2 linked regions of the Macaca fascicularis genome follow. The protein of the gene in region 1 interacts with the protein of each later gene in a pairwise test. Links are inferred from orthologs where the notes say so. Each region holds a gene or a part of one and is shown on either strand. Other genes may lie near its edges.

Region 1 (12,592 bases):
TAAACTCTGCTCTTTGTAAACTGAAAAGCAAAAGCAAAACCAACCCCAACGTAAAATAAAACAAAACATATAAAACTACTCTTCTGTGGTTTTCCATTGCTCACAGAATGAAAACCAAACTTCTTAACGTGGCCATTGAGATAGAATGAAAGCTTCCAGTCCAACCTCATTTTATACCATGTTCCTCCATTCCTTATAGATGGTAAGCATTCCTGCCCTTGGGCCACCCATTTCCTCCTAAGGTCGGAGTCCATGCTTGGCTGTATAAGGCTAATGAATGTGTGATTCTGTTTTGAGCACATTCAGAGGCATGTGCTTCATTTTGCAATTGCTTCATTCCTTGGGTTTCTCTGTAAAAATCGGATGTCTTATCCCTGTCTTTTACCTCTCACTTCATACTTTACTCTGAAGTTTAACAAAAAACACTCAATAGCTTGACTACCTTATTTATATAGAATTTCAAATGTTGGGAAAATAATTTTTGGACAATTTTAGAAACCCTTCCCCATTGTTCATTTGATTGACAGTGAGATGGGCCAATAAAGGATGTCCTTTAAGCCTCCGTCTATCTGTAGAGGTAACCCTCTCACTTTATTCTATAGTCCTAGAGATCATATGACTAGGGGTGGGGCTAGAATAGAAAAAAAAATTTCCATTAGAGCTGGTGTACGGTATTAAGAGATAAAACATAGACCCACTTTACAGGACTGAAAAGAGAGCAAGCACATGGTGGATTATGGGATACTTACGACCCGTTGGTAAGGCCCATGGATGCACATATCCACCACCAGCAGAATCACTCCAATGAAGGCAAAGATAGAACTAACAATGTTCATTCCCAGGCTGCCTTTCACCTAGTGGAGATGGCAGGCAAAAATCAATTATATACAGGATCACTGAAGTTAAATGAAATAAGAATCAATCAAATTTCATGGTTCTTAATTTTTGAACTTTCAAAACAAATTTTCAAGTTGAAATTATTCTATTTTCTGCCCTTCTGGGTAATTACCATAAACATTATTCTATATGCAGCCTAGAGGTAGGGTACTTCTAAAAAGCTGTAGAAAAATGTAAATCATATAAAGCAGGCACTCATCTATTGTTTTTACTAAAAGCCTCATGCACAATAACAACTATATTTTCTTTATAAAAAATGAAAAAACTTCTAATGAGCATTTTTCTGTGGCAGACACTGTGTTAAATTATTTAAATTATCTCACTTAACTCTTACAGCTTTTGTATGAGGTGGTATGATAGCATCTGATTTTTATAGATGGCAAAGTATTTAGACACAACATGTTTGCTGAAAAATTTAGGAATTAATGAAAACCCTAAGTCTCTCTAGGGACTAAATATGCACCCCCAAATTTAGAAGGAGAAACTCTTCAAGCTTTTGTGGGCAGAGGTGTATGGGTGACTACAAATCTTTCCCCAGTTTCTACAATAGGATTTTAACATGCAGAAGAATAATTGTGAAAGCAGATCTGCTGCTGACTTGCTAGGGGTGGCGTAGTTGAGTTCTTTAGAATGTGCTTGTACTGCAGCATGCCTTAGAGCCTCCTGATGGTCTCTGAAAGCTCTTGGAAAAATTGTCTTAGGTAAGTGTCAGTGGCTGTCTCCTCTAAGAGGATGGAATCTATGCTTGGACAATCTCAATTAGAGGGAAGGATCCTTAAAGGATGCAGAGAAAGGGTGCTTTATTTTGTTTTTGGACTACGAAATTATTTTATTCTTGTTTTGTCTGGAAGAGCATGAACTACACAATCCTGTGTTCCTCTTTCCCTATTCTTCCCTCTTGTGCTGGATTACATATAATTTTGACACCACCTCTGCTCTAGTTGACTCTAATTCTTGGTAAATCACTTTCTTTTTCCTAGTTCAATAGTAGACCGGGAAATTGCAATAGGTGGGGCTCTGTGACCAACAGAACTCAAGGTCCCATCTTACTGATCATTTTTATAAACTCTTCTTACGGAACAGGCTAGATTCATTTAATGGCAATTTAAAGAATTGTAAAACACACACCCAATCTTGAGTAAGAGTAGGAAAGACGCAAAAATATGAAAATAAAAATACAAGACAGAGCTGAGAAGTGGCAAATTAACAGTAGAGACTTGGTAACTGATGTGGCTAGTAGGTATTTCCTGGCTCCTGGATTCTCCTTTGGACTTCCCATAATCGAGTGTGACCTGACTAAACCAGGGAGCTTTCAGGTTAAAGCTTAAACCACCCTGATCTTTACTACTTCTCACCCTTGTCAGTTCAAGAGTCAGGATGTGGAACTCTGCCATTTCTTAGTGGCAGACTGTGTGGACCACTCTCCTACCCCAGCGCTCAGACCATGAGGCAACCAATAGATTTTTTTTGGGAAAGGTGCTCTCTTTTGCATTTCCCAAATCCAGCTTTTCAATTTTCCTCCCCAATATGTTAAGCTAATCTTTAAAGGGGTTCAAAAAGCAGAAACAGTCTAACTTACCAGACAAGAGGAAAGCTCCTTGGATGCTGACACAGAGAGAGAGCCTGAGATAATGAACTGTGGAAATGGACAAATTTAGTTGAGAAATGGGTTAACTGGTTGTGCTTGGGAGTTTCTCTTTATACAAAAGGTTGGTCTATTTACGTTCATCTAGCTTCCTTCTCAAAATTTTCTCTTGCACTTCTAAATTTTCTGGGTAACTCTCAGGCATGTATGTCCTTGACTTCTTTTTTATTTTCTCCTTAATTTCTGGCCCATGAGGAACTCATAATGTCTAAGCTTTCCTTGTTCTGAGGCTTACGCTCCATCCCTTCTCATAATCAATTGCATTTTTTTAATTAAAAAAATTTTTTTGGAGATTGGGTCTCACTATATTGCTCAGGCTGGCCTCAATCTCTTGAACTCAAGCAATTCCCCGGCCTCAGCCTCCCAAGTAGCTGGGACTACAATCACATACCACTATGCCTGACTTACTTGCATATTTTTAATCATGTTTTCAATCACCTTTTTTTTTTTCTCTCTCTCTCTCCACCCAATACATACATTTCCATCTCAAATGTAGTAGGAAACCAAAACTTTGGCTTGCTGGTTACATGATTACATTTTAAAGAATGGAATAAGCTCCTATTTAAAATGGTAAACAAGTTCCTGATTTTTTTATGCTCATTCAGAGCTGTTAATTTTTCTAAATTCTCCAGCCCTCAGATGTAGGGCTTTATCAAGAAATGAGTTGTGAATTGGCTGGAGATATCAATACTTTATAAACCAAGAAGGAGTGGTGTTCTAGCAATCTACTCACAGAAAGGCCACCCCAGAATGGGTATCCACTAATAACAGCAGAGGCAAAACCGAGTACTCTTCCATAAGGGATTACTATTAGACACAAAATAATTCCAAAACCAAGGTGCATCAATCCAACCATGATCTGGATTACCTGAAAAAAGAAAACAACCATTTTAAAATTACTTCTTCACTTTCAGACGTGTGAAACATTACTGTCATTGCTGCCCCTGCTTATTGATTGTCAATTTTGCTGAGATCCATGGTTGTCATTCAGGCACGCATCTGAAGCAGGAGGTGGGCCATGAAGATTCTGACATACACTAGAATAACTGGAGTGTAGGTAGCCCTTAGTGAAGCGCCTTGTTTTGAGGTATTTGGGGAGACTTATTGGGGTGGCCCAGGAAGAATTCTTCAGAAAGTACAGCTGCTTAATCATGTGTTAGTATCTCTGAAGGCCTCTAAAAGACTATTAGAAAAAAAATACTTTAACTGTGATGTCAGTAGTTGCTTTTTCAGATGGATCAGTTCTCTGCTTGGGTCATCCCAGTTACGGGTAAAGGGACTGGTGAAGATAAAACCATTTATAAGGCATGAATTATGTGCTTAGTCATGTTCTGAACACTTTACATTTATTGTTTCATGTAGTCCTCCCACAATTGGATTGAGTCCCAGAGACATAAAGACATGTGAGACCTTGTATCCAAGGTCATGCAGTTCCTGAGGGGCAGATCTGGGAATTTACCGCAGCACATTGACTGCTGAGCCTGTCTGAACTATTCAGTACTGTCTTCCCCCATGCTCAGCTCTGCTCTACCTCTTCCATGAAGCCCTCTTGATTACACCAAATTAATCTTTTTTCTTTTTTTCTAAATTTCTGTTGCATCTCATGACATAAAACACACCTTGTTACTTGATTTTGTATTCATTGATATTGTTCTCTTTTAAAAAGTTGCAGGTGTGCAATCATTTTCTTACCATTCTTCTTACCAATCATATATTACTAAAAGTAAGGTATGCATCTTTTAGCTCCTTGTACCTCTTATTGAACCTTCCTTCACTGTAAATAAAGATAGATTTCTGAGGAATAACCATTTCTAGATTGGTCCAAAAGTTGACTGTAGATTTGTCATTTATTTTTCCCCATGTTTACACCTTATCTATCCAGGAAGACTGCAAATACAAAGACTGCTGTATTTATTCAATAAAAAGCTACTGAACACAAGTAAATTGAATTAAAATAAAAAAACCCAGTTTTATAAACAATGCTAACAGTTTCTTGAGACTTTGATAAAAACCGTGAACCTTTCTCCCTAAAAAATTATTCTTGCACCTCCATACACACACATACCATACTTTTGCATATAGTTTCAGAGGCATGATGGGCCTCCTTTAGCCTATCTCACTTAAAGAACTCCTGTATTAGACTTTATATTTGGTTTTTACAACTCTTCTTTAGAGCAGCAATTTAGCCATCTGGCCACAAACTTCCCATCCTCATCCTTGCTGTCACCTTGATGAGGGACAGTTAGATCTGGATTTGTACTGGCCCTCATTTCTCCTCCTACAGCCCTGGCTGTACCATTTACTGATGAAAATTGCCTATAGGACACACTTAAAAATTTGGACATACAATTTGTCTGCATTTGTGGACACAGAAGCACTTTAAGGTCTGAGTTGACTGGTACAGGTGTGCCACGTCCTGCCACCTGTGGCCCCTGCACTGTCGTGATGCCTGGGGCCTGCTGATGGTATAGAAATAACAATCTTCAGAGAGAGGAAGTAGCTTCTGCCAACTGGAGCTTTAAACAAAACTTCATAGTCTTTTAAAGTATTTTTATCACACGCCTTTTTGGTGCCAGGCAGCGTGATTCAGTGGTTCGTCATCCACTTAGTCAAAGCCAAAGCCTTCTGCTCTGCAGGCCTCACCAGCTGTGGCCTCTGCCACTCCTCTGCCCTCCTGACAACTGCTCCCTCCCTCCCTCATTCTGTTCTATTTTATTGGCCTTCTCCCTGTTTTTCAAATACATCACAGATATTTTCATCTAAAGACTTTTACACTGGTTGTTTTCACTTTCCCTGATATCTGCAGGGCTCACTCCTAACTTCAGGTTTTTGCTCAAATGTCATGTTCTAAGGAAAGCCCATTCTGACTGCCTTGAAATTGCTGCCTCCTCACTGTCTGGTACTTTTTAGCCCTTTTACACTTCTTTGTTTTGTCCATATCATTCGACACCTTCTAATACACTAAGTACTTTACTTCCTTCTTATGTTTACAGTCTGATTTCCCCCACTAGGGCAAAAGTTCTGTAAAGGCAGAGATTGCACCTGCTTTGTACTCGGTGATATTTTCCAAGCACCTATGTGGGGTTGGCTGTATGGGGGGTTTGTCCCATTGGCTTATTAGAAGTGGGGAATTTCCTCTATCTGGGAGGAAGAGGATCAGAAGGGCCACCTCCACAGCTTAGTAAATAGGCTGCTGCAAGAGAACTTAGGCTCATTTTTACTTCCCTAAAACATCACAACTTGAAATAGGTAGTAAGATGACTAGAAGATTTTCTGGCACATAATGAGCATTCATTTACGGAATGCTCCAGCAGAGAATTTCAAGCTATTCACAGGGAGAGACTTAATATAGTTTGGTGGAATTGTACTAGCGGGATGAATGAGGTATTTGGAAAGCACAGCGAAGGGAGTAACAATTCTACCTAGGCAGGTGGAATTTTCTTACAAATAGGGCATTTTTGTTTTTACAATGCCTACAGAAACAAGGTGGTCAGTTCAGAGTCTCCTTTGTAGGAATAAGGTGACAGTTACGCTGTAGCATCTCTAAGGATATTGGCGAGAGAGGCACAACAGATGGAACGTCCCCCAATTCTTTCACACTCAGCCTTTCCCAGACTGCCCATTTGTAGTTTCCTTTTCTGGAGGCAGCCATCAATGTTCATTTTTATGTAAATTCACCTTTATGCAAATACCTGACTTGTAACCAATCTGGAGACGAGATTGAGATTGTCCAAAAAGTCCTTTGAAGAAATGAGATCAAGCTAGATGTAGTAGAGTTTCCGTCATGTCAATATTACCAAATCCTCCAGCTAGGGAGGCTCCTCTGTCTCCTGTTATATTTTTGCTTGATCTAAAATGAAATGAACTCAAGGGAAAGTCTATAGGCAGACTAAATATTTCTGTCTAAAAGGGATAGTTTCAGAATAACATTCAAAACTTTTTAGCAATTGGATGATATTCTCTTCTCCTATAACTTATAAGAAGACCTTGCAAATGTGAGTTTAAAATTCTAGTAGTAAGTAGACTTACCCCTAGTACCTTTGCTTCTTCTTTAAAGTTTATTACTGCTCTTCCCACGCTTGGATTTATCATTTGTGTATTTCCTTGACCTGGTTGACTGACAGCAGAGGTTCCTGGAGATGTGATGAAGTAGGGCTGAGCACTCTGAGCACCCTGAGCTTGGTTTTCTAAGTTGATTGAACCCGGAGGCTGTTGAGATCCAGGAGCCGTAAAGCTGCTTGGTGGGTAGTAAGGGTTGGGTGTGGTTTCATATACTCCAGCATGGCTTGTTGGCTTGGATGACACCATGATGTCCTAAGTATCACAAAACATACCAAAGTGATACGTTTATCCAGAAAAGAAACTAAAGAAAATCTTACCAAATATCAAATGTCAATTATCTATGATAATGGAGAGAGCAAGTGACAGATAATGGTCCATAACATCTGATAGAAACATGATTCTCATAAATCCCCAACCCCCAGGCCAAGGACTGTTACCCGTCCGTGGTCTGTTGGAAATCTGGCCACACTACATGAGGTAAGCAGCGGGCAAGCATTACTGCCTGTGCTCTGCCTCCTATCAGATCAACACGGCATTGGATTCTCATAGCAGCGTGAACCCTGCTGTGAACTGCACATGCTGGGGATCTAGGTTGCATGCTCCTTATGAGACTCTAATGCCTGATGATCTGAGGTGGAACAGTTTCATCCCGGACCCATCTCTCATTAGAGAGATGCTATGCTGCTGATTGTGAAGATGGAGGAAGGCGTCCATGAATCAAGGAATGTGGGTCACCTCTAGAAGCTGGATGAAACAAGGAAACAGATTCTTCCTAGAGTCTCCAGGAAGGAACCTGACTCTACTGACACCTTGACCTTAGTCTAGTGAGCTGGTATGGCACTTCTGACCTACACAACTGTCAGATAAAATAATATATTGTTTTAGGCCACTGTGTTTGTGGTAGTTTGTTATATCAAGAAATAGAAAACTAATACAGGGGCCAAGTAATACAATACTTGTATGGCAAAGAGGGCAGTCCAAGATTGAAATTATTTGCCAGTAATTGGGAAACTAGATGGTTCACATATGCCCATTTAAGATGATTCTCCTGTTCTTTAGGAAAAATGCTCTTACTCATTTCTGTCCTTCTGAAAGCTTAGAGCATCTCAGGCCCCATGTAGCCAAGGGAAATTTTGTTGGAAATAAGCCAATACAACTGGATATGGACAACAATGACTATTAATTCTTGAAAAAAAATTATGACACTTAAAAAATTTGTCATTAGCCTTAGATTCCTTTTTTTGAGGTCTTCTCAAATAATTTTTCATGTACTTATGAGTATCAAGAAAGTTACAGTGATGAATGTCTCATTCTTGGTATGAAGTATGAATACTATGAATAACCTATTGGTACAGTGTTTCACTGGTATCTAACAGGGACACATATTCAGACCCTGTGCTCATGGAATCCAGAAATTTTAGGGTAGGAAAGACCCTTTCCATTTATCCTGTCTCATTCCCCTTCATTTACAGATGAGAAATTGAAGCTGAGTCAAGTTAAGTGACATGCTCAAGGTTACATAGAAAACGTGTGGCAGAGTTAGGACTTGAAAATGGGATTCTTGGCTGTTGGTTCAGAATCCCCCTCCACCCCCAGTCATCCATACAGCATCACTGTAGCTTGTTTTCCAGGCCAGCCTTGGTGACAGGGTATTGACTCTGCTCCTGCAACTGCCCAACAACAAAACTTCTGTCTTTGATGCCATAGAGAGGAGTTTATAAACCAGATTAACTTCTTAGTGACTAAGTAATTAAGTTAGTAAGGATTCTCTTTAGCAAGCTTTAGTCGAGGTGTGTAGAGAGCTAACCTTTATTAAAGACTTATTGTAGGCACAGTAGGGTCTGTATAGTGTCATGTTTAGGAAGATGAACTTGGGATCTAACCCCAACTTTGTGTCTTTGGCAAGTTCGTTAACCTCTCTTTGCCTTTGTTTTCTGTCTGTAAAATAGAGCTAAAAAGACTACCTTCCTTAGAGAGTCAGTTTGAGTATTAAGGAGTTATTCTGGGCAAAGTATGTAGGACTGTGCCTATTCCAACCACAGGGGTTGGCTCTGTTATCGCTATGTTAAGTGCATGAGATACATTATCTCTGTACCCTTTACAGAACCCCATGAGGTAGGTACTCTACTAATATCCCCATTTCACAATGAGAGGATTTAATCCAGAACCTGCACTTATAACCCTTACTCTCCGATGCTAGATGCAACTGAAAATGGTTGAAAACTCAATGAAAAGGGAGAAAACACCTTTCTGAAATATCTGATGACAAAGGGATTTTATTTTTTTTCCAAAATGGAAACACGTCCGGCACTTTAGGAGGCCGAGGCGGGTTGATCACGAGGTCAGGAGATCGAGACCATCCTGGCTAACTGTGAAACTCCATCTCTACTAAAAATCCAAAAATAAATAAATAAATAAATAAAATTAGCCAGGCCTGGTGGTGGTCGCCTGTAGTTCAAGCTACTTGGGAGGCTGAGGCAAGAGAATGGCATGAACCCGGGAGATGGAGCTTACAGTGAGCCGAGATAGTGCCACTGCACTCCACCCTGGGCGACAGAGAGAGACTCCGTCTAAAAAAAAAAAAAAAAAGAAGGAAACACATTTTAGCCCACAAAGTTTATTTTAAACAAGGAAAAAGAAACAAGTCCATAGCTGTGACTCTTAGAGTAACACCACGTAACTCCCAATAGCATTTGAGAATGTGAGGTTATACATACTATGGATCTGGTTTCTATGGCCAAATATTACTCAAGCCCTCTTTTCCAATCTTCAGTTTGCTACTTCACTAAGTCTGGGGCTTTAAACAAGTTTCTTAATGAAATCCCTGTTAGTTCCTATGTCTCAACTGTAAAATGACAGAAGGTACCTAAAGAGGCTAGTCTAAAGATCAAGTTATCCTAATTTATGCAAAACTGTTGGAATAGTGCCTGGCACATGGCAAGAGCTCAAAAAGGAAACTATTGTTTTATTACTAGGTCCCAAGGTATTCTATCTTGTTTAAGGCAGTGGATGTGGCCATAAGGAAATTTTATACAAGGAATTGAACAGGGTCAATGTCAAGAGCAAGGATATAGGAGATGGGTACTCAGAGTACAGTAATTAGCCAGAACAAGAATTTTTTTGAGGTTTTAAAAAGCATACAGTTAAAGAATTGTCCACGTTTCTGCATGTATATGATTTCATTACATTATCCTTTGCTGTTGATCATTGCTTTTTTTTGTCTCGAGAAATTTTATGAGGAAAACTCAATACTTTTCATTTATTTATCCACAGTTTCTCCTTTCATATCTGCTATTTGGTTTCTGGACTAAGATCTATAAGTTTCATATAGAACCCAGATTATCATGGCTAGGCCTATACTTATTAGGACTAGTCTCAGAATACATTTTTACTGGGTCAAGTTCTGGTTTTATGAAAAGAATTAAAGACAGAGCCAGCCAATTCTGATTCTTTAATTATTCAATTGAAATGAAGACAATTCTGTAAATGATACATGAGAAGGGAAACTAATAAATAGACTCCTTTTATAGATTCCACCTATTGTCTTAGTGGGATTGTTCTCTTGACAATTAATAAAATATTTACCACCATTTGTCCTTCTTTTAAAATGAAAATTAGAACAACTGCAATTTTTAAGAACAAGGAACACATAAAATTATTGGAACTCTGATGAGATCAAAAGTACAAGACTAAAGCAATTAGAGAAAACCTCACCAATTTGCTCTGTGATTATATTATTTCAAATAAAATGGGAAAAATTTTACTTTTTTATAGTTTCTTTCTACCTCATTTTCATGCTAACTTCACTTTTGACAGAGTGAAGATGATTATTATTTTCAAGAGTACTTTATAGCATAAAGCAAAACATGAAACTGAATCATTTCCGCAAAATCACCCAGTACATCCACAGATATACACTTTTATCACCTTTCCCAAAATGCTAACCTGGTGAAAATGAATGTTTTTTCCCCACCTATTTTAATTGTTTTCTTGTCAGAAAGAAGCACCTTAATTAAAATGTGTTATAAAACCAAGGGCTCCAGTATTTCTTCTGTGTTCTGTGTTGTCCTGTGGTAGCCACATAATCATGAAGCACCCAGTGGGGCATGGCCTCGTCCTTTTTGGTCTATGTTCATGGAATGGCATACAGTTAAACCTACTATTCACTATTCACCTTTCTTGGCATTAGTTTTTTATTTATTTGTTTGTTTGTTTGTTTGTTTGTTTGGACAGGGTTTCACTCTTGTCACCCAGGCTGGAGTGTAATGGAGCGATCTCAGCTCACTGCAACCTCCACCTCCCAGGTTCATGTGATTCTGTCTCAGCCTCCTGAGTAGCTGGGATTACAGGCACCTGCCACTACGCCCAGCTAATTTTTGTATTTTTAGTGGAGATGGGGTTTCACCATGTTGGCCAGGCTGGTCTCGAACTCCTGACCTCAGGTGATCCTCCTGCCTCGGCCTCCCAAAGTGTTGGGATTACAGGTGTGAGCCACCATGCCCGGCCAGCATTAGCCTTTTTTTTTCTTTTTGGAGTCTGTTTTATCTCTTGTATAGCAATCAACTTACTTTTTCATTCTTCTTCTGTTTCGTTTCTTTCTTGTTTCATTCATGGTTTTATTTTTCCTCATTTTTCAACTGGCCTCAACATAGAGTCAAGAACTTGTCTTCATCCCTCCAATCTAGAGAATAGAACCCACACAGGTAGACCAGCCCCACTTTGTGCCCATTGATTTGGAGGAGAGATAAGCAAGGACGTTTCAATGGACTTACTTGTTCCTTTGGCACCTCGGTTTCCTCTTTCTCTGCTCCAATCTGTGTGCCAGTATCAGGTATTTACCTGGATTTTATAGGCAACTTTTACTTCCGTGCTTCAAACCAATTTGTCTTGTATCTTTTTGTAGTTCCAAAGTCCTTTTATGGTTGTTTCTTTTTCACCTTAAGTGATGTAGATGCAATTGTAAAGTTTGGAATATGCTGTGCTTTCATGTCTTCCTCTAATTTTTACTGGGAAGCCTATTCTGACCCTCCCAAACACTTTAGTATTTACTTTCTCCAGCTTTCTGATACTTAATCATTGCAATATCATACTGCATTTTAATGCCTTTTAAATTAGATGGACAAAATTGGAAAATGCAGATAATAAAAAAAGGAGAGAAAAAGCACTCAATCTCACCACGCAGACATAATTGATGATAGCATTTGCATTTTGATTTGTAAACTTTCGTAGGCATATACATGTATTTTATACATATATAATTTAGTAAAATCAAGTTAGGATCATAATGTATGTGTACTTTATAACCTGCTTTTTAACTTAACTTAATGTCCTATAAGTAGCTTTTCATGTCAATAAACATATTTATTGTAATTTTTTTTTTTTTTTTGGAGATAGAGTCTCGCTCTGTCGCCCAGGCTGGAGTGCAGTGGTGCGATCCCGGCTCACTGCAATCTCTGCCTCCCGGGTTCAAGCAATTCTCCTGCCTCAGCCTCCCGAGTAGCTGGGACTACGGGCATGTGTCACCACGTTGGGCTAATTTTTGTATTTTTAGTAGAGATGGGGTTTCACCATGTTAGCCAGGATTGTCTCGATCTCCTGACCTCGTGATCTGCCCACCTCGGCCTCCCAAAGTGCTGGGATTACAGGTGTGAGCCACCGCGCCCGGACTATTTATTGTAATTCTTAATAGTGGCATGCTGTTTTATTTTTTGGAAGTGTCCTATCACATTCCAGTCACTTATTTTATGTTGTATCTCAGGTACAAATGAGTACCTTGAGACCAGAGATCCTTGGGGCAGGGGCTGATATCTATCCCCACCTCCAACTCCATGTATGGCAGTGTCTCACACATGGCTCATTAAATATATGTTAAAAGAGTTAGTGGCATGATTGCAGATTCTTTTTTCTTTTTTCTTTCTTTTTTTGTGTATTATTGAGGGTTTTCTTTCTCTTGTGGGTTTAAATTTTTATATATTTTTCTAAAATAGA
Region 2 (12,526 bases), on another chromosome or scaffold:
CTCAAAACAAAGAGGCAGAGAAAGAACCTTACTTAGGGCACTTTGCATCTAAGTGTTACGATTGTCCATTCCTCATTTACTTAATAAGTGTTGAGCACCTGCCATGCTCCAGGCACAGCATTGGGCTTTGAAGATAGAGTGACAACAATCCTGGCAAGATCTCTGTCCTTACAATACATGAGGTGGACAGTAATCACCCAAACACAAAAAATAATTCCAACAGTACTATGGCCAGGGCTGTTAGTGGCCCTGTGGCAGGCACGAAGTCAATGGTAAGTGTACGGGTGTTCCTTCCTATCCTCACTCTCCCTCTCCCAACGCCACTTTCTGTTGTTGGGGACCAGTTAGATTTAAATACATTTTCAGATGAATCCCTCACTATTTGAACTGCCACATTTACTACCTGAAACTCAAGGACACATGGATTTCATAACACTGTATCCCTCAACACTCAAACTTGCTCTCTGAATTCTGATATTTGAATGCAGTAACCAAGTCAATTTGGATAAAGAGGGATGGGTATAAAGATAAGTGAATGGGCCAGGCACAGTTGCTCACACCTTTGGGAGGCCAAGGCAGTCAGGGTGCTTGAGCCCTGGCATGCAAGACTAGCCTAGGCAACATGATGAGACCCCATCTCTACAAAAATCCAAAAATTAGCCGGATATGGTGGCGCAGGTCTGTAGTTCCAGCTACTCGGGAGACAGAGTTGGAGGATTACTTGAGCTGAGGAGGTTGAGCCTGCAGTGAGCTGTGATCATCCCACTGCACTCCAGCCTGGGCGACAGGGAAACCCTGTCTCAAAAAAATAGTAAGTGAATGGCAAGTGAACGGCTATGGGCTATATTGTCTCATAGGCAGGAAAATGGAGGTTGAGGATGTTCTGCTCAGTGATGGCTGATACTGAATGAGGCGTGCAGGTCTGTGTGCAGCAATATAAAAAATCATTCATGGAGTACGGCTCACACTTGGGACTTTGATAGTGTGTCTGTCATTTAGCCCTTTTCTGATACTCTGTAAGACAGACTGGACCTTAACCTGCTCATTTGCATCTGACTTTGCCAGAAAAGATTAACTTTGCAGAACTTTGTCCTTTCGAAGAGACCATTTTGGGGAATAAAAAGGTCTCCATGCTTTCTGAGCTCTTCTCCAGGTAGGAATCTCTGGATGACCCAGACATTATCCCATTGAGTCCTTCCTTTTTCCTGGCAGCTGTTCGGTACTTGCCCAACTCCAGGGACACAAGAAACCAGACTCAGTTCTGCCTCATGGCTATGAACATTAATCACAGGGTCTTCCTGAGTCTACCCCATCTGAGAGTTAAAGAGACCTTGATCTGTAGAAATAATAGTTGCAATCTAGTTGTGTCTAGCAGGCCAGAACCAGTGGACATGTGTGTTCTTGCAGCAGAAAAGGGGAGAGCTCTGCTCCTACAGGGGGAGGCTACTGTAGTGGACATCTGGTGTTTCTGCTACCCAGCCTCCATATACTTGTCTCTTGGTAACATCACCTCCACCTTGAGTGTCATTGTTCAAGTCACTGGATGAAGTCTCACCGGAAACCATTATTACCTCTCAACCTCTCATTTCCTAAGGTAATAAGTTCCTTTCATCACTAAAGCCAGTTGGAATGGGTTTTTTTTAACATTTGTTATTGAAAGAATCCCAATGGATACAACTGTCTATTCTTTCCCCCAAGTATCTCTGAATTTCTTCTGGCCTGTCTCTTCCTTTTCATGGAACTAGTAAATTGTTTCTGAAAAATGATAAAGCAATTTCTTAGTGGGAAAAGAGTTTAATAAAGAGGAGTCAAAAAAAGAGATAAGCAGTTGTCTTCAAAGTCTTTATGACTGTTTTCATGACTGTTTCAATCATTCAAAAACATTTATTCAAAACCATTTATTGAGTACCTTTTGTGTACCAGACGGTATTCAAGATGGTGGATATGGTTGTGGTTCACCACATGAGCAAAGTTTTGGCTCTCCTTAAGCCCACATCCTGGAGAGGGGCAGGGCAGGGAGACAAACAATAGGCAAATTAGTAAATCAGGGAAATCTTGGGTAGTGAAAAGTGCTTGAAGAGTTAAGCAGGATGTTGCAAGTTGGGCTCTGGTCAAGTAGAGAAGGATACTCCTTCTCTTCCTTTCACTAAATGCAATTAACAGCCCTGGACAGAATGCATGGAGAAGCTAACTGAGGATTCTAGAAAAAAAAAGCAGGAATATTTTGGAAGGAAACCAGAATTCAAAACACTACTAAGCTGTTGGTGAGTTTCCCATTTTCTTTCCTCTGGTACCTCTCAGCCGGGGTCAGAGACCACCTGAAACCCAGAACTGTACGCAGGATGCGGACAAAGACGTCTCCAAAAGAAGCCCTGTTTCTGGTCTGAGGAATGGGAAAGGGGGCCCCAAAGAGTCAGAGGGAGTGTAGAAAATCTCTGTGTTTTGTTTGTTTGTTTATTCTTTCCTTCCTCAGCCCCTGGGCAATCAAGTGACAGTGATGGTGGCAATGGAAGTAGCAGCCAGGCAGGTACCTGGAACTCTGAGAAAGGGGAACCTTTGTCTCTGACCAGAGGAACCATGATCCTAAAAGCATGGGGGGAATAATTGTTACCTTTGTCTCTCTCTCTCTCTCTCTCTCTCTCTCTCTCTCTCTCTCCCCCCCCCTCCCCCCGCCCCCCCGCCCCAAACCCCGACACCCACATTGCCTTGGTCCCGAAGATAGACACAGTCACAAGAAGTGCACAGCAGAGGAGGAAAATGAAAACCCTGGTCTTTAGCCGGAGGACCAAGGCATATCTTCATTTCTTAATATGCTAATTGCTTCAGAAGGTGGAGGTGGCTCAAGGCCTCTCAACTTGAGACTAAGGGGTTATGGGTTGTATTATTATCTCCATTTCATAGATATGAGCCTAAGAAGGTTGTTTTCCTTCTTAAGCTTTTCCTACTATGCCATGTTGTCCATGGGCAAGTCAAAGGTATCCTACAGCCCGTAAGAATGGCACAGTGCTTATTTGCAACCTTTAAGAGAGGTGGCAAGATGTGGGATTCATGGAGAAATCCCTGCTTTGCTTGGATTAGTCCTGTAAACAAGGTGGCGTAGGTGAGACTGCGGTTGGCAGGTGGGATTAGCGTCTCCCTTACTTCCTAGTTTCCATAGCCTGGAGAAAAGGGATGCTCAGTCTGGTTTGAGATCCACTGGGGGGTTCATTGCCTTTCTTTGCAATGCCTTTGCTCTTAGCTTCATTTGTCCAAACTCCTCTCTCCCTGGGCTCTCCCCAGACGAGGCAAAGGCTGAGCTGGCTGATCTCCCCACCTGTGGCCCTGAGGACAGGACCTGGAATTCCCCATTTCTGCTAATGAGATCAGGACACGGGCTCTTCTAATTAATCCAGCCCTCACACAATCTTCCCCACATGCTCTCCATACCAGGGAGCAGCTGGGGGCAGGAAGAAGGGACCCCAATCCCCAGCATCCTGAGTACACTCTTTCAGGGCAGGTTGGGAAAATGAAGGTTCGCCAATTCAAAGGCGGAGGGGAAATGGTTCAGCCTTTGGGACTTGTATTTGGTGTGAAAGGAGTTGCTTGCTTCTGGGTCACAGCCCTGCAGTCAGCTCCCCTACTTGCCTGGGAGTCAGGAAGAAACTTCTTGGCCCCAAGCCCATTTAGGGGCAAGGCACTGGCTGGAAGGAAGGTCAGGGAAGGAAGGAGGTTGTCCGCCAGAGGCAGCAGCCAGCCAGCCCAGCCCTTCTCTGGTGCCTGCTGCTGTGGTCCTCTCCCAGAGAGTGGGGGCCTTCCTCCATCTGCGCCATGAGGAAAAGAGCAGTGGAGGACCATGGAAAGGGATCCAGAGAAAGAAGGAAACACCAAGTCCCAGGGGCATGAGCTGGAAGGGAGGGCTGCTCCTCCCAGGGGAGGCTGGCGACCGAGAGCTGCCACCAAGAGTGGAAAGGGAGGGAGCTGGGCAAGATCCAGCATTGTTAGTAACCAGCTCTGTGGCCTTGAGTTGACCTCACTGATTCTCAGTCTCCTCACTTGGAAAAGGGCAAAACAGCCACGTGCAGGCCGTGGTGGGCACCCGGGCTGTCTGCAGATAGCATGGCTCATTGCTGGTCCTCAGTACACAGCCCTCATAGCCAAGCAGCCTGAGCCTACACTCTGGGCCCAGGGGAGTGACTGTCGCTGGCATCCCCTAGAGTAACAGGCCCTAGGAGTCAAAGATTCCTTAGTTGGAAAGGTCTAGAAAGAGACTCCCGCTCTGCTCCCTCCTGCACCAGCGCTGTGTCCCCCGCCGGCCAGGCAGGGCCGTTCGATGCCGCTGGCCCGCTCACTGAGGATCTGTTGGCTTCAGCGAGTGGAAGGACCTGCTCGGCTGGAACTTTTTTTTCCCCTCCCAGACGACGTCCGATGGGTGTGTCGCGCAGGAGGTGATATTTGACGGGCTGCGCTCGGGCGAGCTGCCGGGAGTGCCCAGCAGGGGCTGACAGCATGGCCTCGCCCGACCCGCCGGTCACCAGCTACGCCCCGTCCGATGTGCCCTCGGGGATCGCGCTGCTCCTCACCATCCCTTTCGCCTTCTTCCTGCCGGAGCTGGTGAGTGCGGCCCCCCGGCCACCTGCAGAGAGAAAGGAAGGGGGAAACCGGCCTCGGCCCCAGACCAGACCGCGCTGAGACAAGGGGGACCGAGCGCAGGGGCTGCGGTGGCTGCGAGTCTCCCACCGGGCGCACAGCGGGGTGCAGCTGTACTCAAGACACAGATCCCACTCTGCGCCCCGTCTGATGCCGCCAGGGGGGTTCCGCCCTCCAAAACAAAACCCACTTGGGTGTGGAGGCCTGGGGGGACGTTGCTAAAATACTCAGGATTCCCAGGAAAATGTTGGAAATGAATTATAATTACATGGCTTCTTTTGTCCAACTATTTGTGCCTTTCTGATTTGAAGTGGGGAGACTGTGTTTCCCTCTGGGAGCAGGTTTTCTTAATTGTCATGTCTGCTGACTTTGAACTTTGACTTTTGTGGGGTCCCCCACACAAGGTAACTATGACAGCATCTGCCATAAAACAGTCGTGTGAGGCACCCTGGTTGCAAATGAGAACCTGTCACTGTATTACTCTCTGGGGCGCCCTACGGCTGAGTCGTGGCCCTGATCCCTGGGAAGCCTGCCTGCTCCCATCTGCAGAGCTGTGCATATGCAGTGTTCCACACTGCACAAGTCCCCTCTGAACTGGCTGGTACCACATCCTCTTCATGGAGGAGCACACTGAAGTCTGGGGTCCAATCAGGGCAAAAGAGTGTGTTTTGTTTTTCCAGCACCTTCTGAAATATCTAGCTTGTGGGTGGTATTTTCTTACCTGCCCTGAATTTGGCAGTGCTGTCTCTGAGCAGGGAGGAAAAGATAGAAAGTGGATCTACTTTTAAATCGGACGTGACCGGCCCTTCTCACTCTCGTTATCTGCCTGCAAAGTTGGGCCTGATCGAGCCACTTTTAGGCAAACTGGCTAATGGGTGACCATTGATGGCAACCAGAAAGAGAACCAGGTAGGGTGGGCCTAGCATCTGAGTGGCTCCAGTTGAAACTCCACCTAAGAGGCAGGTTTCTGCCAAGGCTACCATCCCCAGCACAGCGTGGGCATCCTGCCAGACTGATGACATAACCTTGCTCTGATGAGTCCTATGTGCCAGGCCCTGGGTGTGCCCCTCACCTTGGAGCAGCCACATGGGCGGCCAGGGTACTGGTTGACTCTGCCTCTTTTTATTGAGCCTGTGGTTTATGTCAGTCCTGCAAGCCCCTGGTGACAGGGCACTGCCTCCTGGTGATTTCCTGTCTGCTGGGGAGAGACTGTGAGCATCTCCCCCCCAACAGTTGGATGGTAGCCTCAGCAAGGAGGGACCTTCTGAACTCTCCAGGCCAGGGAGGGATCCAGGCCTGCCACCAAGAGTTGGACCTCAAAGAACAGGCATTCATAGGCTGGGGGGAAAGAGAGGGAAAGGCCTAGAGGCCAGGGGAGAAGTCCTGGAAGCAGGCTAGATGCACGGTGTTTCCGGAATCAGGATCGCTCCCAGGGTGAGAACTGTGAGAGGTCGTGGTGGCTCCACCTGCCCTGCTCCTGCCAGTGAAACTCCTGGGAGAGCAAAGTGCATGCTCATGTTGGGCTCTGAGGCCTTACGTGTTGTGGGGGGTGAGGGGCTCAATGACAATCAAAATTGACATTGGCCCAATTGTCTTCATTTACTTGTATTGTTAAGTAATGTGAGATTTACAGTAAAGCTGCAATAATAGTACAGAAAGTTCTGTGTACTCTTCCCTCAGCTGCCCCTAATGCCTGCATCTTCCATGGTACAACTCTTGAAATCAGGAAACAGTGATACTGTGCTATCAAGTACTCTATAAACCTTACTTCAGTTTTGCTAATTTCCTCACTGATGTCCTTTTTCTGATCCAGGATCCTGGCCAGGATCCCACATGGCACTTAGTTGTCATATCTCCTTCATCTCCTTTAATCTGGGACAACCTGGGTCCTTACCTTGCCACTTCTGAAGAGTACTGATTAGTTGTTGTTGTTGTTGTTGTTGTTGTTTTTTGCTTTTGAAAAATTTATTTTTCCATAAGTTATTGGGGTACAGGTGGTATTTAGTTACATGAGTAAGTTCTTTAGTGGTGATTTGTAAGATTTTGGTGCACTCATCATCCTTGTGTACACTGCACCGTATTTGTAACCATATATATATATCTCTCTCTCACAGTTTCTTTATCCACCCATTGATTGATGGGCATTTGGGTTGGTTCCACAATTTTGGAATTGTGAATTGTGCTGCTATAAACATGTGTGTGCAAGTATCTTTCTTGAATAATGACTTCTTTTCCTCTGGGTAGATACCCAGTAGTGGGGTTGCTAGATCAAATGGTATTCTACTTTTAGTTCTTTAAGGAAACTCCACACTGTTTTCCATAGTGGATGTACTAGTTTACATTCCCACCAGAAGGGTAGAAGTATTCCCTGTTCACCACATCCACACCAACATCTGTTGTTTTTTGATTTTTTTGATTATGGCCATTCTTGCAGGAGTGAGGTGGTATCACATTGTGGTTTTGATTTGCATTTCCCTGATCATTAGTGATGTTGAGCATTTTTTCATGTCTGTTCCCCATTTGTGTATCTTCTTTTGAGAATTGTCTATTCATGTCCTTGGCCCACTTTTTGATGGCATTTTTTGTTTTTTTCTTACTGATTAGTTTGACTTCATTGTAGATTCTGAATATTAGTCCTTTGTCAGATGTATAGATTGTGAAGATTTTCTCCCACTCTGTGGGTTATCTGTTTACTCTGCTGTCTGTTCCTTTTGCTGTGCAGAAGCTCTGTAGTTTAATTAGGTCCCAGCTATCTATCTTTGTTTGTATTGCATTTGCTCTTGGGTTCTTGGTCATGAAATCCTTGCCTAAGCCAGTATCTAGAAGGGTTTTTCCAGTGTTATCTTCTAGAATTTTTGTAGTTTCAGGTCTTAAGTTTAAGTCCTTAATCCATCTTGAGTTGATTTTTGTATAAGGTGAGAGACGAGGATCCAGTTTCAATCTCCTACATGTGAGTAGCCAATTATCCCAGCACCATTTGTTGAAAAAGATGTCCTTTCCCCATATTATGTTTTTGTTTGCTTTGTCCAAGATCAGTTGGCTGTTAAGTATTTGGGTTTATTTCTGGGTTCTCTATTCTGTTCCATTGATCTATGTGCCTGTTTTTATACCAGTACCATGCTGTTTTGGTAACTATGGCCTTAGAATATAGTTTGAAATCAGGTAGTGTCATGCCTCCATATTTTTTTTTGTTGTTGTTTTTTGCTTAGTCTTGCTTTGGCTATGCTGGCTCTTTTTTGGTTCTATGAATTTTAGAATTGTTTTTTCTGATTCTGTGAAGAATGATGGTGGTATTCTGATGGGGATTGCATTTAATTTGTAGATTGCTTTTGGCAGTATGGTTATTTTCACAATATTGATTCTACCCATCCATGAGCATGGGATTTGTTTCCATTTGTTTGTGTCGTCTGATTTCTTTCAGCAGTGTTTTGTAGTTTTCCTTGTAGAGGTCTTTCAACTCCTTTGTTAGTTATATTCCTAAGTATATTATTATTATTATTATTATTATTATTTTTATTTGCAGCTATCATGAAAGGGGTTGAGCTCTTGATTTGATTCTCTGCTTGGTTGCTGTTGGTATATAGAAAAGCTAGTGATTTGTGTACATTAATCTTGTATCCAGAAACTTTTGCTGAATTCTTTATCAGTTCTAGGAGCTTTCTGGAAGAGTCTTTAGGGTTTTCAAGTTAAATGATCTTATCGTCAGCAAACAGTGACAGTTTGACTTCCTCTTTACTGATTTGCATGCCCTGTATTTCTTTCTCTTGTCTGATTTCTCTGGCTAGGACTTCCAGTATTATGTTGAAGAGGAGTGGTGAGAGTGGGCGTCCTTATCTTGTTCCAGTTCTCAGAGGGAATGCTTTCAACTTTTCCCCATTCGGTATTATGTTGGCTGTGGGTGTGTCATAGATGGCTTTTATTACATTAAGGTATGTCCCTTGTATGCCGATTTTGCTGAGAGTTTTGACCATAAAGGGATGCTGGATTTTGTCGAATGCTTTTTCTGCATCTATTGAAATGATCATGTGATTTTTGTTTTAAATTCTGTTTATGTGGTGTATCACATTTATTGACTTGCGTATGTTAAACCATCCTTGCATCTCTGGTATGAAACCCACTTGATCATGGTGGATTATCTTTTTGGTATGTTGTTGGATTCAGTTAGCTAGTATTTTGTTAAGGATTTTAGCATCTATGTTCATCAAAGATATCAGTCTGTAGTTTTCTTTTTTGGTTATGTCCTTTCGTGGTTTTGATATTAGGGTGATGCTGGCTTCATAGAATGAATTAGGGAGGGTTCCTTTGTTCTCTATCATGTGGAATAATGTCAAAAGGATTGATATCAATTCTTCCTTGAATGTCTGGTAGAATTCTGCTGTGAATCCATCTGTTCTTGGACTTTTTTTTGTCAGTGATTTTTAAATTACTGTTTCAATCTTGCAGCTTGTTATTGATCTGTTTAGTGTACTACTTCTTCCTGATTTAAGCTAGGAGGGTTCTATTTTTCTAGGCATTTATCCATCTCGTCTAAGTTTTCTAGTTTTTTGTGCATAAAGGTATTCCTAATAGCCTTGAATGATCTTTTGTATTTCAGTGGTGTCAGTTGTAATATCTCCTGTTTTGTTTCTTAGTGAGGTTATTTGGATTTTCTCTCTTCTTTCTTTGGTTAATCTTGCTAATGGTCTATTAATTTTATTTATCTTTTCAAATAACCAGCTTTTTATTTCATTTATCTTTTATGGGTTTTTTGTTTGTTTGTTTGTTTCAATTTCATTTAGCTCTGCTCTGATCTCGGTTATTTCCTTTCTTCTGCTGGGTTTGGGTTTGGCTTGTTCTTGTTTCTCTAGTTCCTTGAGGTATGACCTTAGATTGTCTATCTGTGCTCTTTCAGACTTTTTGATGTAGGTGTTTAGGGCTATGAACTTTCCTCTTAACACTGCCTTTGCTATATACCAGAGGTTTTGATAAGTTGTGTCATTATTGTCATTCAGTTTGAAGAATTTTTTAATTTCCATCTTGATTTTATTTTTGACTCAATGCTTTCAGAAGCAGGTTATTTAATTTCCATGTATTTGAATGGTTTTGAAAGTTCCTTTTGGAGTTGATTTCCAGTTTTATTCTACTGTGGTCTGAGAGAGTGCTTGATATAATTTCAGTTTTCTTAAATTTATCAAGTCTCATTTTATGACCTATCATATGGTCTATCTTGGAGAAAGTTCCGTGTGCTGTTGAATAGAATGTGTATTCTGTGGTTGTTGGATGAAATGTTCCGTCAATTGTAATATCTCCTGTTTTGTTTCTGTTAAGTCCATTTGTTCCAAGGTATAGTTTAAATCCATTGTTTCTTCATTGACTTTCTGTTACAATGGCCTGTCTAGTGCTGTCGGTGGAGTATTGAAGTCCCCCACTATTATTGTGTTGCTGTCTATCTCATTTCTTAGGTCTATTAGTAATTATTTTATAAATTTGGGAGCTCCAGTGTTAGGTACATATATGTTTAGGATTGTGATACTTTTCTGTTGGACAAGGCCTTTTACCATTATATACTGTCTCTCTTTATCTCTTTTAACTGATGTTACTTTAAAGTTTGTTTGATATAAGAAGAGCTGCCCCTGCTCACTTTTGGTGTCCATTTGCATGAAGTGCCTTTTCCCACCCTTTTACTTTAAGTTTATGTGAGTCCTTATGTGTTAGGTGAGTCTCCTGAAGGCAGCAGATAGTTTGTTGGCGAGTTCTTATCCATTCTGTGGTTTTGTGTCTTTAAAGTGGAACATTTAGGCCATTTACATTCAATGTTAGTATTGAAATGTGAGGTACCATTGCATTCATCATGCTCTTTGTTGCCTGTCTACTTTGGTTTTGCTTTTGCTTTTTAACTTGTATTTTTGTTTTATAGGTCCTGTGTGATTTATGCTTTAAAGAGGTTCCATTTTGATGCGTTTCCAGGATTTGTTTCAAGAGTTAGAGCTCCTTTTAGCAGTTGTTGTAGTGGTCGTTTGGTAATGGCAAATTCTGTCAGCATTTGTTTGTCTGAAAATGACTGTATCTTTCCTTCATATACGATACTTAGTTTCACTGGATATAAAATTCTTGGCTGATAATTGTTTTGTTTGAGGAAGCTGAAGATAGGTCCCCAGTCCCTTCTAGGTTATAGGGTTTCTGCTGAGAAATCTGCTGCTAATCTGATAGCTTTTCCTTTATAGATTACCTGGTGCTTTTGTCTCATAACTCTTAAGAGCCTTTCCTTCGTCTTAGCTTTGGATAACCCGACGACAATGTGCCTAGGCAAAGATCTTTTTGTGATGAATTTCCCAGGTGTTCTTTGTGCTTCTTGTATTTGGCTGTCTAGGTCTCTCACAAATCTGGGAAAATTTCCCTTGATTATTACTCCAGATATGTTTTCCAGGCTTTTAGAATTCTCTTCTTCCTCAGGTACACCAATTATTCTTAGGCTTGGTTGTTTAACATAATCCCAGACTTCTTGGAGGCTTTGCTCATATTTTCTCTTTTTTTTTTTCTTTGTCTTCATTGGATTGGGTTAATAATTCAAAGACCTTGTCTTTGAGCTCTGAATTTCTTTCTTCCACTTGTTAAATTCTATTGCTGAGACTTCCCAGAGCATTTCACATTTCTAAAATTGTGTCCAAAGTTTCCTGAATTTTTGACTGTTTTTTCTTTAAGCTATCTATTTCCATGAATATTTCTCCCTCCACTTGTATCATTTTTTGGACTTCCTTTGCATTGGGCTTCGCCTTTTTCTGGTCCCTCCCTGTTTAGCTTAATAACTAATCTCTTGAATTCTTTTTCAGGTGAATCAGGGATTTCTTCTTGGTTTGGATCCATTATTGGTGAACTAGTGTGATTATGGGGGGTATTGAAGAGCCTTGTTTTGTCATATTACCAGGGCTGGTTTTCTGGTTCCTTCTCGTTTGGGTAGGCTCTGTCAGAGGGAAGGTCTAGGGCTAAAGGCTGTTGTTCAGATTCTTTTGTTCTACAAGGTGTTCCCTTGATGCAGTACTCTTCCCCCTTTCCTATGGATGTGGCTTCCTGTAAGCCGAACTGCAGTGATTGTTGTCTCTCTTCTGGATCCAGCCACCCAGCGAATTTACCTGGCTCCGGGCTGGTACTCCGGATTGTCTGCACAGAGTCCTGTGATGTGGACCGTCTGTGGGTCTCTCAGCCATGGATACCAGTGCCTGTTCTGGTGGAGGTGGCAGAGGGTGCAGTGGACTCTGTGAGGGTCCTTAGCTTTGGTGGTTTAATGGTCTATTTTTGTGCTGGTTGGCCCCCTGCCAGGAGGTGGCACTTTCCAGAAAGCAACAGCTGTAGTAGTATGGAGATGGACCAGTGGTGGGTGGAGCCCTAGAACTCCCAAGATTATATGCCCTTTGTCTTCCACTAGAGTGGATAGGGAAGGACCATCAGATGGGGACAGGGCTAGGCATGTCTGAGCTCAGACTCTCCTTGGATGAGTTTTGCTGTGGCTGCTGTGAGGGGTGGAGGTGAGATTCCCAAGTTACGGGAGTTGTGCACCTAGGAAGATTATGGCTGCCTCTGCTGAGTCATGCAGATTGTCAGGGAAATGGGGGAAAGTTGGCAATCACAGGCCTCACCCAGCTCCCACACAAACCAAATGGCCGGTTCCACTCCCACTGTGTCCCTCACAACAGCCCCAAGTCTGTTTCCAGGCAGAGGGCAGGATGGCTTTGAAAACTTGCCCAAGGCTATCCTCCTCCCAAAGCAAGAGTAAAGGGCTTTAGTTCTTCCCCTGCCTGTAAAGTCTGCACACTCAATTTGTGACCTCTCCTGAGTTCTGACCAGGTCTTCTGAGTTCTGGCCAGGAGGCATCTCTCCCCATTCAAATTGTTACAAAGTTCAGCTAGAGAAGTCCTTCTCCCTG

What was found.
Region 2: the proteins of MS4A12 (region 1) and MALL interact in binary tests that used the Homo sapiens proteins (3 or more experiments, as listed by UniProt). The two-hybrid records come from large-scale screens. The link is inferred for Macaca fascicularis from reciprocal best matches to the Homo sapiens genes MS4A12 and MALL.

The regions. Positions count from the first base shown.
Region 1 is NC_088388.1:13,724,973-13,737,564, forward strand, and holds the start of MS4A12 (membrane-spanning 4-domains subfamily A member 12), read right to left. Parts: upstream 6,851-12,592; coding exon 6,572-6,850; intron 3,411-6,571; coding exon 3,276-3,410; intron 2,534-3,275; coding exon 2,477-2,533; intron 855-2,476; coding exon 750-854; intron 1-749. UniProt on the Homo sapiens protein: May be involved in signal transduction as a component of a multimeric receptor complex.
Region 2 is NC_088387.1:17,481,803-17,494,328, reverse strand, and holds the start of MALL (MAL-like protein), read left to right. Parts: upstream 1-4,459; 5' UTR 4,460-4,485; coding exon 4,486-4,590; intron 4,591-12,526.